2 linked regions of the Alligator mississippiensis genome follow. The protein of the gene in region 2 interacts with the protein of the main gene of each other region in a pairwise test. Links are inferred from orthologs where the notes say so. Each region holds a gene or a part of one and is shown on either strand. Other genes may lie near its edges.

Region 1 (7,672 bases), on a different chromosome or scaffold from region 2:
GATACCTCCGCACATAGGAACAACGAGTGAGTTTGGTCTTGTTCAGTGCAATGCGTTAGGCACAAAACCGGCCCTCAGTCACCGGGGAGCCTTCCCCCACCCCGGGTACTGCCCCCCCTCCCCTAGCCCCAAACATGCCCAGTCCTGGATTCCTCCCCAGCTTTACAGCAGAGGAACCGGGGAGCTGCAGCACCCCTGTCCACTGCCGTGGGGTCATGCGACTGACACAGTGGAAGCCAAGACAACCCCCTTCAGGGTGAGGAGGGGACGCACCTAGGAGGTGAGCACAGAATCAGCCCCCCGGACCAATCCCCACTGCAGCCACCGGCACCACACGAGATAGAAGCAGCAGATTTGGGCACATGGCAGACGGGTGCCGTGACGCACCCCTGGGAAGCGCAATGGAATAAAGCTGTCGGGAGCAACTGACTTCAGTGTTCCCAGCCCCCTGCGGCAGAGCCCCCCCTCCCCAAGACGGGTGGCGCCGCAGGCCTCCGCCATCACACCTTCCTCCTCGCTGCACGGACGGTCTGTGCCGAGGATGCCAAGGCCAAGCACCATCTCTGCCCTGCCGGCCCGGGCAGGAGGCTCTGCTCGCACAGCACAGGGGACACATCACCACTGGTCACATCTATCTGAACAAAACAACACACAACACCGGAGTGAGCCGCGGGCTGGTCCTGGGCCATGTGGATGGAGCCCTGGCCCGGCTAGGAAGGGGGTTGTGCTTCGGGGGTCCAGGCCGGCCGCGTGCCTAACGGCCCTGCACAGACCAGCGCCGGGAGCGCGCGCTTTACTACGACCGGGCGTCCGTTTTGGATTTCACTATCGTGATGACGCTGGTGGTGGCCACTTTTCCCGGAACGAGCGGCCCCATGCCAGAGGCCAGGGGCCCGCGGGCAGGGGTCACGGGGCTCCGCGCCACGGTCCGGGCGAAGTTCTGCAGGGCCTCGTACTTGGAGCGCAGGGCGTCAAGTTCCAGTTTCATGCTGGCGTTCTCCGAGGCCAGCTTCTCCACCTCCTGCTGCAGCTCTGCCTTCTGTTTCTCCAGTTCCTCCTTCTGCGTGACGCGCTTGACACGGCAGCTGGCCGCGTAGCCGCGGTTCTTGAGTGTGCGCCGGCGCTGCTTCAGCTGGATGATCTCCTCCTTGGACAGGCCCCGCAGATGCTGGTTCAGCTCCCGCACAGACATGGTCACCAGCTCCTCGTCCGTCAGGCTGGTCCCATTCTCGCCTGGCTCCCGCTTCACCTGGAAGAGGGGACACGAATGGTGCTGAGCCTGTTGCCCCCAGCCCCCTGGACCCAGCCCCAGCCCCCACCCCCGCCCCCAGCCTCTTTACCTTCAAGGCCTTGTTTCCTTTGTTGGGGGTCGTCATAACACGACAGCCTCGTCAGTCAGGATCTGAGGAGAGAGCAGAGGGGGTCAGAGGTCGCTCGCGCGCTCCAGGCCCCAGGGGCGTCTGACCCTCTCCGCACCCGGCGGAGCCCGGGGAGAGGGCAAGGGCACGGCCGAGGGAGCACCAAGCACCTGCCCCCACCCCACGCTGCAGCCAGACTCACGAGGAGCTGCTGCCGCTCATCTCCCTCCTGTCACCCTCCTGTGAGGACTGGAGGCAAATGCTGACGGGAAGGGGGAGACCGGGAGCGCTGGGAGGAGTCAGCGTACGAGGAAGCCACATCTTTAAAAATAGCCGAGCAGCCGCGGGCTGGGTCCAGAGCAGCCAGTCACGCTGACTCAGCACGCTGGCAATCTCCCGCCTCCCGCTCCCACCCCCTCCGTCCTCCTAATCCCCAGCACAACAAGCCAGCCAGGCGCAGCCAGTGTCCTCTGCCAGAGGGCTCCCGCCCCCAGGACCCTTTTAGGACGGGGTCAAAGGTCACAGCAAGTTCTAGATGCTGCAGGAGACGGGGCCGGCGGCCCTGCAGCTTCGCCCCCTCCCCCCGCCGTGACCGCGGTGCACGGGCTCCCCGCACCCTGGGAGCGACCTGCAGAGCAGCGCCCGCGCCCAACGCGCCGGACCGCGCAGCCCAGACCACCGCGGGCCCCGGCCAGGCTGCACAGCGCCCTGCCTCGCCGCTCCCCTGGCACGGCCCCCCCAGAGCCAGCATCCAGGTCTGCTTCCACAGCGCCCAGGCCCCAGCAGCGCTCTGCCCCGGGCAGCCTCGTCCCCTCGGGCTCCAGCCCTCGACGCGCCAGGCCCCGGGCCCCAGCCAGGCCAGCGACTCCCCCGGAGCCCTCCGCCCCGCGCAGCGCAGCGCAGCGCAGCGCCAGGGCGCGGTGCTGCCAGCCCCGCCGGCGCCGGCCACCCGCCCGGGACAGAAGCGCCTGCGGGAGCAGGCTCCGACGGGGGCGCTCCCCCCGGGCACCCCGCGAGGTCCAGCGCGCGGCACCGCGCAGCGCGGCACCGCACCACAGGCCCGCTGAGAGCCGTGGGGCCAAGCGGGGACCCGAGGGCCGCGCCCCGCCGGGACCGGGCCGCGCAGCCGCCTCCAGCCCCGCGCCGCTGGGAGGCAGGGCAGCGCGGGAAGGAGCGGGCAGGCACCGGCCCGCAGCCGCGGGGGGCGGGTGGGCCGGCCGGGGGCTCTGCGGCCCCGCGCGCGACGGAGAAGCCACCACCGCACACTCGGCCCGGCGGGGACGGGGACGGGCGCGGGCAGGTGCCTCGCCGGTGTCCCGGGCCGCGCCCACCGCCCACCCCGGCCCCGGCCGCCGCCCCCGGGACCCAGCTCGGCGGGGAGGCGCAAGCCCCACCCGGGCCGCGCTCGGGGCGGAGAGCGGGCAGCGCAGCCCCGCGTGCCTCGGCGGGGCGGGGCGGGGCGGGGTGGCGGGCCGGGGGCGCTCACCGTGCGGCGGGGGGGCGGGGGGCGCGGGCCGGGCCGGGCCGGGGCGCTGGGAGGTGCCGGGACTCCGGGGCCGCCGCCGCCGCTCACGGACGCGTCACGTGATGTTTGGGTCACGTGGCTCCATTCATGAGCCCCGGCGCAACCGCCCCGAGCCTTAAGGGGGAGGCCGCTCGCGTCGGCGGGCACAAACCGTGGGGCCACCGCCTTAAAGGGGAGGCGCGTGAACTGCCTCCCCCTCCCACGCGGGACACCCCCCCCCCGGCGCGGGGGCAGCGAGAGGCGAGACCGCAGCAGCCTGGGGCCGAGAAGCAAGAGGTTGTTTATTGCACGAAGGACAGCAGCCCGCGCGCCCGCCCCGCCCCGGCCCCTTCCTCCCCGAGCGGCGAAGGGGCAGCAGCTCGTGGCGCCCCTCGGGGCCGTGCCAGGACCCGCCCGAACCGCGGGGGTGCGCGGAGCAGGCCCCCCCCCCGACAACGCTCATGATGGCGCCCACGAGCGCGGCCGGACGGTGCGACGTGGCGGGAAAGCCTACCCTGCCACAGGCCAAGGGGGTGGCCCCAGCCCTGCTCCTCCTTCCCCAGGCAGCGGGTGGGGGGCAGCTCTTGGCCCTCGCCCCCCCAGACCTGGCCACGCAGCCCGCCACGGCATGCAAGCTGCTCAGCTGCTGCAGCCCGTGGGGCTGGCGTGGCCCCGCACCCGCTCCAGCAGCCGGCACGCAGCAGTGACCGGCGGTGCCTGCCCGGCTCCATGCCCCCGGCACAAGCAACCAGGAGCCGCTGGCAGCGGGGTGGAGGGAGCAGCCTGGGCTAGGGGCACCTGAGGCCCCTTCCACCCCCTGTTTTCCATGGTCCCTTGCTTCCTTTGGGCCTTATAAAACCATGAAGCAAAGTGAGCAGAGGCCTGGCGCCTGTCCCCACAGCTCGTGTTCCTCCTCACGCCCTCACAGCGCTTCCTCCACCCACGAAGCTGCAGGGACCTAGACAAGAGCCAGTGCCCAGAGAAAAGGCAGAAGACACAGGTGCAGAGCTGGGCCAGGGAAGGGGGACCAGAGGCCACTCTGCAACCGCCCAGCCACGCAGCCCAGGGGCTCCAGCAGCAGGGCTGGGGGGGGTGCTGCTGCCCAGAGGACACAAGGCTGGGCAAGGTCTGGTCCCTGACCGTAGGAGAGGAAGTGCCACTGCCGATGCCCTCAGCCCCGCTCCCAGCTGAGGAGCCACAAGCGCTTAGAGCTAGAGCTTTTCCTGAAAGAGAGAAGGGAGCGCCTGCAGGAGGGGCAGCAGCAGCCGGGGCCCCTCAGTTCTTCTTGCTGCCGGGGTGCCTGTTGCTGAACAGGCTGACTTTGCTGGCAGAGGCCGTGGAGACGGACGGAGACTCCAGCTTCACCTTATCCAGCAGGGTCTTCTTGATGGCTGCTGGGGAGATCTTCTCCTGATCTGCCAGGTACTGCAGCTCCCTGCGGGAGACAGCACCCATCACGTCACTCATGGGAGGAAAGGAGTGAGGAATGGCAGCGCTGAGCAGGGCCCAGGCTGGGGGCACCCATGCTCACCGTGTCCGGATGCAGGAGGCCTCCACAGCGTTGATGAGGAGCGAGCGGAAGCCCCCGCTTTCCAGGAAGTGCAGAGCATGGATGGTGGCCCCCCCCGGCGAGCACACGTTGTCCTTCAGCTGCCCAGGGTGCTGCTCCGACTCCAGCAGCATTTTGGCTGCGCCCTTTGGGGTCAGAGGGGAAACACAGTCAGCATCCGACTGAGGGACCTGCTGCCCACCCTGCACGAGCAATGCCTGGACAGCTGCTCTGAGCCAGCCTGGGCCCTCTCCTCATGGGCACTGGCCAGGCCATCACAAACCCAGTTCAGAGGTAAACCTCCCCTGCTCACCCAACCTGCCACAGAGCCAACAGCCCCAGCAGGAACCTCAGGGACCCTCCACACACCAGGTGTCCCCAAGCCAACTCTGACCAGGCAGCCTCCTGCAGTGAGACGTGCTGGGTGTGAGTTCAGTCAACCCCGGCTTTGCTCGGTGCAGGCGAGCATGAACTGAGCAATTTCGAGGGGCAGCTACTGACCAGCAGGGCCTGGGCTCCGAGCCGGACAGCCAGCCGGCGGGGAAGTCCCATCTTCACGCCTCCATCTGCCAGAGCGTCCAGAGCTGTGAATGCCTGGGACCGGGAACAGCAGGAAGACGAACTTCAGGTTGGAAGAATGGCCGGTCCCCCAAAGGCTCCGTCACCCCCAGGAGAAGGGATGGAGCCCAAGTCCCAGGGCCACTCTGGACTCCCTAACACCTATGGGGACTTGGGAACCTGCTCCCTGCTCAGTGCCCCTCAAGCAGATGATGCCCCCAGAATAGACAGCTCTGGGAGCTTCCTCCTCCCCCATGAGGTGGGCACCAAGCCACGCTTCCCTGCCACAAGGATGCTTCTATCCGGGGGCAGAGGAGTTGAGCCCCGTGGCCACTCCAGTCTCAGCACGAGACCCGACCACGAGGTTAACTGGGCTGCTTGTCAATGATCTTGAGCCACTTTGGCGATGCAGACGCTCCTGCACCAGGAACTGGGAAGAGACCTCAGCCTCTTCCTGAACCGGAACCCCGTCACAAGGGTGGACAGTCAGAAATTCAGGCCTTTGCTCCGTCAGCTTTGCAGCCTTGTTGGACACTTTCTTATTGCTGTAGGCATGTTCCCTGCATCGAACATTCGTTACTCCCCTCTTGACTTCTACAAACCACAGGAGTGGCACCTACGTAAGCAGGGCCACTGCCGCTGAGCCCCGTGACAGCATCGATCAGGTCCTCTTCCACCTCCGTGCAGAAGCCCACGCTGGCCATCAACTGTTCCAAGAGCTTCCCGTCCTCCACCTCAGCATGGGTCCCAGTGGCATAGACTGTGGCGCCCTCCCGCACGATCACAGGGGTATTGGTCATGCACCTGATCACTTTTGGGGTGGGACAGAAGGTAGAGAGTTTCTTGGGGTGGGAAGGGTTGGACACAGAGGGGAGGAGAGAGAGACATGGACAGATTGAACATACACTCTGCATGTGAAGTTTCCCCCAGAAACTCCCGGGGGGCAGAGGGAGTCCAAGGGGGCAGTGGAAGGGAATTCCCCACCCACCTCCCCCAACTGCCATGCGTGCAAACCCCTGCAGGAGGGCTGTCAGGGAACCCTTGCTGCAGAGGACGTGCCCCTCTGGCAGCGTCCCCGGGGAGGCAGCTGGGCAGAGCCTGCCTGATCCGCAATCCCGGCAGCATTCTGCAGTGCCCCCAATCCCCCGGGAGGCAGTTCCCGTGACCCTCACACCTAGGCTGCTTCCCAGAGGCAGCACAAGACTCCAGGAGACCAGAGGGTCTGACCACCCGCTGGCATAGGGGCGCACCCGACATGATGCTGGAGGGCTCTGATCTCGGGCTAGTCTAAGCTTCCAGGTGGTCCCGCATGGACCACAGGACCAGAGCCCGCAGCAGGGACAGCTTTAGCCCATCCAGGAGGTGCAAGTCTGGCTCTGAACACGCTTTGTCCTGTAGAAGTTGGCTGCAGCCGAGGCTTGGACTAACAGGGACGCGCGGCTGCTGCTAATGCTGGTAACGGAAATGGGTCCCAGCACCTGGAGGGCAAGCCCGGCCCAAGGCCAGCGCCCCCACAGTTCGAGCCCTCCAGGAAAAGCGTTCCAAGGCTGTGGCGCCCCAAGCTGGAGCAGTGCGAGGCAGCGGTAAGCACGGGTCAGGGGACAGGCTCTCCCTACCCCTCCTGCCGCGTGGCGGAGCTGGGAGCACGCCGCACCCACCTTCTCGATGGAGCTGATCGTGACTCCGGCCGCGCAGGAGACCACGATGTGGCGGTGCTCTATGTCCGGGCCGATCTCGTCCAGGATGAAGGGGATGATGGGGGGTTTCACTGCCAGGAAGAGAACGTCGCTGCTCCTAACCGTCTCCTTGTTACTCGGCGTGAAGTTCACCCCCATTTTCTGGAATATTTGGAAAGGAAACAGCACCTGCGTTTGCTTTACTCGCTGCGTGGGTGGGGCAAGTGACCCCCGGCCCCTGGCCCGCAGCGTCCGAGCGAGCGCTGACCCCGCGCGCCGCACTTCGCCCCGGGGACACGAGCCACTCGGCTCCGCTAGCTCCGGCCGTGCCTGCGCGGCTGCGGCAGCGATGCGAGCCACTGGCGAGGGCGGGCTGCAAGCGGCCCGGGACTTACCCTGAGGCCGGAGATCGTGGGCAGGTCCGTGTCCGGGGAGCTCGCCGTGATCTTGTGCGCGGCCAGGACCCCTGCGGACGGCACGGAGCGCGCTCAGCCCAGCCCCGCCCCGCCCCGCATCCCCAACCCTGCCCCCGCCGCGCCCCGCACCCACCTGCGGCGGTGAAGCCCCGCGCCAGGGCGAAGGCGAGCTGCCCCGCGCCGATGAAGCCGACGCTCATGGTTGCGCTGCCGAGCCCACCTGCGCCCACGTGGCCGCTGCGCTGGGGGACCGCGTCCGCGACGCGTGGCGGCCACAGCGCGCTGAGCGCGGCCAATCCCGGGCCCGGGGAGGCGGGGCCGCGCCGCCAGCGCAGCCACTTAGGGCCAGGGGGCGGGGCCTGCCTCCCGGGCCTCGCTCGCTATTGGGGCAACTCTTGTTGGCGATTGCATCATGCCGTGCCTACGCGAGCCGGCCGGGCCCCCCGGACTCTACTTCCCAGCAGGCGGCGCGGCGAGCGGGCGGGCGGACGCCGGCGGCGCGCTGCCTGCTGGGAGTTGTAGTCCCGCGGGGCGCCCGACGTAATGGCGGCGCCAGGTTCTGGAATCTTCCGCGGGGCCTGGCCCAGGCCGCAGGCGGAGGCCGGGCCCGC
Region 2 (7,332 bases):
CTGTTGCAGTCTTTCTGGTTTCTCTGCAACAGAAGAATGGCTCTATTATTTTTCCATAGCCAAAAACTGAAGGAAAGCTAAGAGCTGACATTTTCCAAGTAGTGCCTTGAGTCTTACAAGGTTGAGAACCACTGATCTAGAGACAGAAATTTGTAATCCTAATTCCCAATCCCCTACTGTGACAAGACAGGGTTTCCTTCCATTTTGTGCAGATGGCATTCAACACCATCAAATTAGCTTTTGGAGTTAGATAGTATTTCACCATAGTATATAGGATACATGCTTTTAGTGTCATTTTCATGCTCAACTATGGCAGTCCACCTGCTATACGGGCAATGACATACTATTGATGAACCCCGTGCAAGAGGATGCAAAGCTAATTCAGATTTTCAAAAGAATGTGCATGCATCTTAAAAATATGTACAGTTTTGATTTATGGGATGACGTATCTTCTAAAATGTTAAAGAAGCACTACTAATACTAGCCCAGGAGTCAATGGTTTAACATGTTTCCTTGGCAATTTTATTCTATCCATAGTATTAAAAGCAACTACTCCTTGTTTCTTACCAAAACGCCAATTTCCTCATATACAAAAAACCCCCGTCACATTATACAAAGCACCACCTCCAAACAATACACCACTGCATGCAGCCAAAACAAAATCTCATACAAATCCACCTGCAAAGAAAAATTCCACTCCCAGTTCAAGCCTTTGAATACTGAATTAAAATGCACACATTTATGACAATTCCAAAGACCTAAAAAAATTTTTTTTGTCATGAAAACACTGACAAGTCTTCAACCATGGCAGAGAAAACAGCAACACTATAATTTAGCAATCTTCCCAACAGACTAAAGACTAATTCTAATAAGGTGTCATTTCTGCCTCACATTTATGATTATCTTCAAGAATGAAAAACGTCGTTTACTCCAGAGCTGGCAGGGCTTCAGTAATAAGAGCACGGTGATCTCACAATAACCAAAGCATTTTTAAGGAAGACACCCGCTGTATTATAAAAATAGCCTGTTCCACAAAAGGCGAGGCATGATTTCACACTTAGCTACTTTCATGACAGCCAGAGCCTCTGCAGCTAACTGCCTTACCTACATGCTATGTTTTAGTGATCCAAGAAAATTATCAGAGTTAACATCTCTCTCCAGTTTTACTCCAAACCAGAAAAAAAAAGAGAGAAAAGTATTTCATTAAGTTTCATCTCTTGTCAGGTTCCCAACAGACAGGAAAGATTTTATGGGGAGTAATTAATTTTTTTTTGGTTTAGTACACTGAACTGATTAAATTGATATAGAGACACTGCTCTTAAGAAAAGGTGCTGCCTGATACACAACCATGAAGAAGTTTGGAGCAGATGCTTGGCTATTTAAAGCAGGTTCTTGCTTGCCACAAAGGCACCTCCAAGGGAGTAGAGTCAGTTGCCAACTGTGTTGAGTGCGTCAAATAAAAAATACATCTATGGTTGTTTGTGGCAACAACTTGTGGTCAAGTTACAGCAGAGTTGGAGCCCCAGGTGCATGTGGGGGACAGCCCCCTCCAAACACCCCAATGCAATCTTAGACAAACCACAGAAGCAGGAAAGCAGCAGCAGTGACTCAGTCCCCCCAGGCAGCAGCTTTGGAAGTGACCCCCAACACTTCACTGCACACTGCCTGCACCAAGGAAGAGTGTGTGTGGGGGTTGGGGGAAGGGGGACACCAGGGCACTAAGCAACAGGGTGGCTCCTGATCCATAACAGAAACCCCTAGACAGAAAGAGCTCAGGTGGGAGCATTCCCTGCAGGTGTGCTGGGGGGAGGGGTTGCTCTGGAGGGAACCTAAGCCCCAAATTCAGCCCTGCTCACACTCATGGGGATGGGACCCACCCCCCCTTTCTCCCTGCCCTGCTGCTCGGATCTGGGGCACAAAAGAGTGAAAAGCACCCAGCAGATGAGGGGGGGGGGAGACGGGGGACATGACACACGACCCAAGGGGGTCTTTAGGATCCTTCCAAATCTGACGGCGCCTTTACTCAGGGCCCACAAATCCAGCCCCCCGCCCCCTGCTCCTCCTTGCACACCCACCCCAAGGGCAGCACTCTCCCCCCTCATGCAATGAAAGGCAGTCGCCCCCTGCAACACCCGCCCCCTCCTCCTTCACACCCAGCCATCATGTTCTCCCCAGCCCCACACAGCTGGAGGGACATACACAGCTGGAGGCACACACAGAGACTTGGGTGCCTCTTGCCCACTCTCAGTGACGCAACCTGCGCGCACTCCCCACTTGGCAGATGGGGCTGAGCAGCCTCCTGCCCAGGGAAGGGGTTAAAGGGGGGCAGGTAGGCCCCCCCCCGCCGGGCAGGTGAAGGGACCCCCCAAGCTTTCCTCTTCTTTCAGGAGACACCAAACCGATGCAGCCCGTCCCAGCTGCAGCCCCCTACCCCTGCAAACTTCATCCCCATCCATCCCCTCCCAGGAGCAGTGGGGGCGCGGAGGGGGAGGGAGGGCGGGGAGAAAAGCACTCACCTTGGCTGAATGCAACTTTGGGTCGCTCCCCCTGAGGTGGGGGCGGCCGGGCAGGGAGGACCGGGCTGTTTCCCGGCGGCGGAGGGGGGTGCTTCAAAGGCGCGCACCGCGAGCTGCCCCCGGAGAGACGCGCATCACATGGCGCGGGCTGCCGAGCGCTGCTCCCCGTCCTGCCGCGGGGAAGAAAGGGAGGGGGCGGCTGGGAAGAGGCGGGCGGGGGCAGGAGGAGCGGAGGCGGCTGCAGCAGCTGGGAGGCGCGACGGCACCGCGGAGGAGCTGCTGCTGCTGCAGCCGGGGCGGGCGCGGCGCGAGGCGGCGGCAGCGGCGGCTGGAGTCCCGGGCAGCCCGGCGGCGGCGGTGCGCGTGCGGCGGCGGCCCCGGTGTGCGGCCACCCGCTCCCCGCGCTCCGCTCCTGCTGCGGCGCCTCCTCCCTCAATCGCTACATTGTTGACATTCGAAGGCTGACATCATCCCCCTGCCCCCCGCCTTCCCCATTCACAAGTGCGTTACGCAAACCACGTAGCACTCCGCCGCCTCAGCGGACAGCAGCTCTACGCACGGCAACACGCGTAGCGCCGCTTCGGGACCCTCGGCGCATGCGCATCCTCCCCCCCGCCCCGGGTTGTCGGAGAGAGAATCGCGCCGGGTCCGCGCGGCGTCTCGCGCGCGGCCGAACGGGACGCTGGGAGTTGTAGTTCCCGCTGACCCTGAGGAGGGGAGGGGCGGGGCGGTGAGATGAGCTCACTGGTTGTCCAAGAAGGACAAGGGCAAGTTGTGGTTGGCCTGTGCTCCCTTACACACACACACCCCCCTTGGCCCACTCCACTGCCACACACACACACCCACTCCCTCACCACACACACACCTGACCCACTCCCCCACCACACACACGCGCACCCTTCCCACTCCATGCCCCAACCACACACACCCACACACTGCCCCACTCCCCTGCCACAGACACACACACAGCCCCTTCCCACACCCTCCCCCCACCTCACTCTCCTACCCCACTCCCCCACCATCCACCTACCCACTCTGCTAGGATTCATGGAGCTGGGCCCATCAGGGCATGGAGCAGAGGCTCAAGCCAAAATGGTCTAGAGAACCGAGGATAGTGACCTAGGGCCACAGCATGACAAAGCTGCCATGGTGCTTTGCCAGGCCGGGCTCCGAATCTAGTCACCCCTGCATCAACACGACCGGAGGGCGGTTCCCCATGTTGATTCCAGGCTACCTGGTCTATAGAAGGCAGGGGAGAATTGTGTGCCGGCTGGGTGTGAACCCGGGCCCTTTGTCGCGCTGCACGCGGGCTGTGGCCGGCAGCCCGGGCACGCCGGGTCGGAGAGGGCGGGCGCCGAGCTAGAATTAGGCACAGACACGTAACGGTTGATTTTAAGATTGTTTACTTACACCGAGATGGTCGCGGTGCAGGCTGAAAAACTTGTTTGAGTTGCGGTTACAAACAGAAAACACGAACTATCACATGGAGTTTGCTAGGCTCCACGTAGACAGAACTCCGGATGTCCAGGACAAGCGCGCCTCAAAATAGAAAACTCGTCGATACGTCTTATAGAAAGTTACCGCTCAAAAACGGGAAGAGGTGGGCGGTGGATCAGGCCTCCAAACTCCTCTGAGTAACACTCAGGGCTTCGATGACCCTGCCGTGTGCCCAGAGTCCCCACGAGATGGATGTGGAGTCCTCTTCGGCTTGGGCGGAAACTGCTCAAGCCTCTTATATGGCTAGCAGGCCAATCGCTAGCCGCCATGTGGGAATAATTTAGAACTAGCCAATAGCGGGACACAAATTTGCATGCGAAGAGCGGGAACTCTTTGCACCGTGCATTTCTGTGTTGCAAAGAAAATGCACCCTGCAAAGACAGCTGCAAAGTGGCGGGAACTCTCTCCTTTGCACGCAGGTTCTCTGTACAGCAAAACTCACTGTGCAATGAAGCTGTAAACCTACGGGGATAATTCTAGTGCTGAAGCACACACAAAATCAGACCTTTGGGTCATGACAATATGCACCTTGTAGACTAATCAAAGTAGATCCATCTATCCATCTATTGATTTATCTGTACCACAAGCTTTCATGAGCTGAAGCTTACTTCATCAGATGCGATGAAAGGACACAGAAAACACCCTGACCTGACCAGGTCCCTGAAAATCTCCTGCCCAGATCACATTTCCAGACCCATATATCCCACTAGGATGGGTGGCCTCCCACCAGATCAGAAGAATAGGAAGAAGAGGTCACCTCCCATCAGATCAGAAGAATGGCTAAAAAAAGAGCCCAAAGAGCCTGAAAATAACATGAGAGATTGGGTTCTTTTGCCCTGTATTCTGGGTTTGAAGATGTGCAAGCAAATATTTTCCAGTCTCCCCTCCCCGCCATCAACCTCAAAAAAAGTGAAGGCTGAGATTCTTGTGCAGTCACTTTGAGTCAAGCAGCAGGGGCTTTAAAAAAAATGCCATATACCATGAGATTTGGGATGAAATCCTGAGTTTATAAATACTAACATTAGAACAGGAGTAAACAGAATTTAGTACGCCTAATGTATGTAACCGTGAGAAAGGTAATTTGCCATGGTAGTCTAAAGTTAGATAGAAGGCAGGGCATATGGCACCATCTAAATTAGCTCATTCAGAGGCAGAAGCCTTTATATGAAAGCATCTCAGGAAGTAGGCTGTAGAAATGCTGTTCCTCTTAATGGGTTAGCCAATAAGGTGCTCCACCATATGTAACCACATTCAGGTGAGAAGAACATTTTAGATTAAAGGGATCCTGTTAAAGATGAAAGTAAGCAAGCAAATGATTCACACCAGGAGCTCTGAATGAGGTATTAGCACTTGAGGGATTTAGCGAACTGGGATTTTTACATTTTACTAAAATGTAAAAGAAAATATTCCCAAGAGAATATACAATAAATGTTGGCTTGTTGCAGACAAAGCTACAATTAGTACTTAACATTTCTGTATTTGTGAATGCTTTGGGGGTCTTATGTCAGATTGTTTATTTTCATTCTATAGGCTACAACTAGATCTGGACAGGTTACAGAGGTGGGTGGATGATAATAGGATGGGTTTCAACACGGACAAGTGCAAGGTACTGTACCTGGGGATGAAGAACCAGCAGCATACCTACAGGCTGGGGAACTCCCTTCTTGTCAGCACAGAGGCAGAAAAGGATCTTGGAGTCACTATTGATTCCAAGATGAACATGGGCTGCCAGTGTGGGAACGTGGTCAGGAAGGCTAACCGCACCTTGTCATGCATCCACAGATGCATCACGAACAAGTCCCAGGAGGTGATCCTCTCCCTCTATGTGACACTGGTCAGGCCGCAGTTGGAGTACTGCATCTAGTTCTGGGCGCTGCACTTCAGGAGGGATGTGGACAGCATCGAGAGGGTCCAGAGGAGGGCCACTCGGATGATCAGGGGGCAGCAGGGGAGGCCCTATGAGGAGAGGCTACGGGACCTGAACCTGTTCAGCCTCCACAAAAGAAGGTTGAGAGGGGATCTGGTGGCCACCTATAAACTTGCCAAAGGGGACCAGCAGGCAATGGGAGAGTCCCTGTTCCCCCGAGTACTACCAGGGGTAACAAGGAACAACAACCATAAGTTGACTGAGAGTAGATTCAGGCTAGATATCAGAAGGCACTACTTCACAGTCAGGGCGGCTAGGATCTGGAACCAACTTCCAAGGGAAGTGGTGCTCACCCCTACCCTGGGGGTCTTCAAAAGGAGGCTAGACAGCCACGTAGCCAGGGTCATTTAAACCCAGCATCCTTTCCTGCCCAAGGCAGGAGGTCAGACTTGATGATCTGCTTAGGTCCCTTCCGACCCTGCCAACTATGAAACTATGAAACATTCTCTTATGTTACTGTGATTTTACAGAATGTTATTTTCCATCTCATCCAACAGCTGTATGTGGAGAGGAACTTCTGATGCCCCCTTCTGAGATTAGAGTTGCTGCATCTGATGGGCTGTATTTTCAAGCGTAATTAATGGCACTTCACACAAACATACAATGTCAACATTTTACTCAGGGTAGAGTACATAGTGTGATTTTTCTGGTATTGATTATCCAGTATTGTCAACTTTGTGAAGATATGCAGCTGCAGAAAATGAATGTAATCTGCCCCCAAATTTATGATTTTCTGTCTATTATTCAGGTAAAATACTGCTCATAGCTGGGTTTTTTGGCCCTGGTCATGAAAACATGTATGTGTACACACACCTTGTTTTAATCATATTACAAGTCTAATTCAATGCCATGAGTCTACTCAGGTATTCAGTTGTTTACAGCTGAGCTCAAGCCTCAGTCCACAGGCCAGATCCAGGCTACAGAACTATACTATCCAGCCCTCAGGGGCCCCAATGGGTCTCAGTCTCAAAATTTGATGGCAAGGGAGCAGCAGCAACAAGCGTTTCTTTTCTGCTGCCAAGTTTCTGGGTCCAGGGGAGCCCTGCATGCTGGAGAGCATGCTAGATCAGTGTGGAGATGTGGCCTGGGCCCCAATCGAGCTGAGGGAGGCGGAGTGGAGTCTGATCCTGGCACATGGGTCATGATGTGGCCTGCAGACTGGCCCCAGGCCATTTGTCCAGCCTTTGGCACCAAAAGGATGAGCAGCATTGGTTTACAGGACTAAGGGCTTAAAATGTTTGCCTCCATTGCTTTGCCTTCCAAAGGGATGCAAAACGAATTAATTTTGATAGAACTGAGTGTCAAAAATAATACCATTGTATTAGTCGCACACTTTCAGAGAGCTTCTGAAAGCAAGCATTATGTTTCTTATATCATCAGTTTCACATGCAT

The links. The genes of interacting proteins can lie anywhere in the genome.
Region 1: the proteins of BACH2 (region 2) and MAFG interact in binary tests that used the Homo sapiens proteins (3 or more experiments, as listed by UniProt). The link is inferred for Alligator mississippiensis from reciprocal best matches to the Homo sapiens genes BACH2 and MAFG.

Annotation. Positions count from the first base shown.
Region 1 is NC_081831.1:453,843-461,514, reverse strand, and holds the start of MAFG (transcription factor MafG), read right to left. Parts: upstream 3,072-7,672; 5' UTR 2,845-3,071; intron 1,728-2,844; exon of another isoform or gene 1,561-1,727; intron 1,403-1,560; 5' UTR 1,377-1,402; coding exon 1,341-1,376; intron 1,250-1,340; coding exon 797-1,249; 3' UTR 1-796. Other genes in the region: PYCR1 (pyrroline-5-carboxylate reductase 1, mitochondrial), read right to left, coding at 4,138-4,297, 4,394-4,557, 4,913-5,005, 5,590-5,811, 6,628-6,807, 7,041-7,111, 7,195-7,261. UniProt on the Homo sapiens protein: Since they lack a putative transactivation domain, the small Mafs behave as transcriptional repressors when they dimerize among themselves.
Region 2 is NC_081824.1:77,765,258-77,772,589, forward strand, and holds the start of BACH2 (transcription regulator protein BACH2), read right to left. Parts: upstream 3,096-7,332; 5' UTR 2,517-3,095; intron 1-2,516. UniProt on the Homo sapiens protein: Transcriptional regulator that acts as a repressor or activator. Binds to Maf recognition elements (MARE). Plays an important role in coordinating transcription activation and repression by MAFK.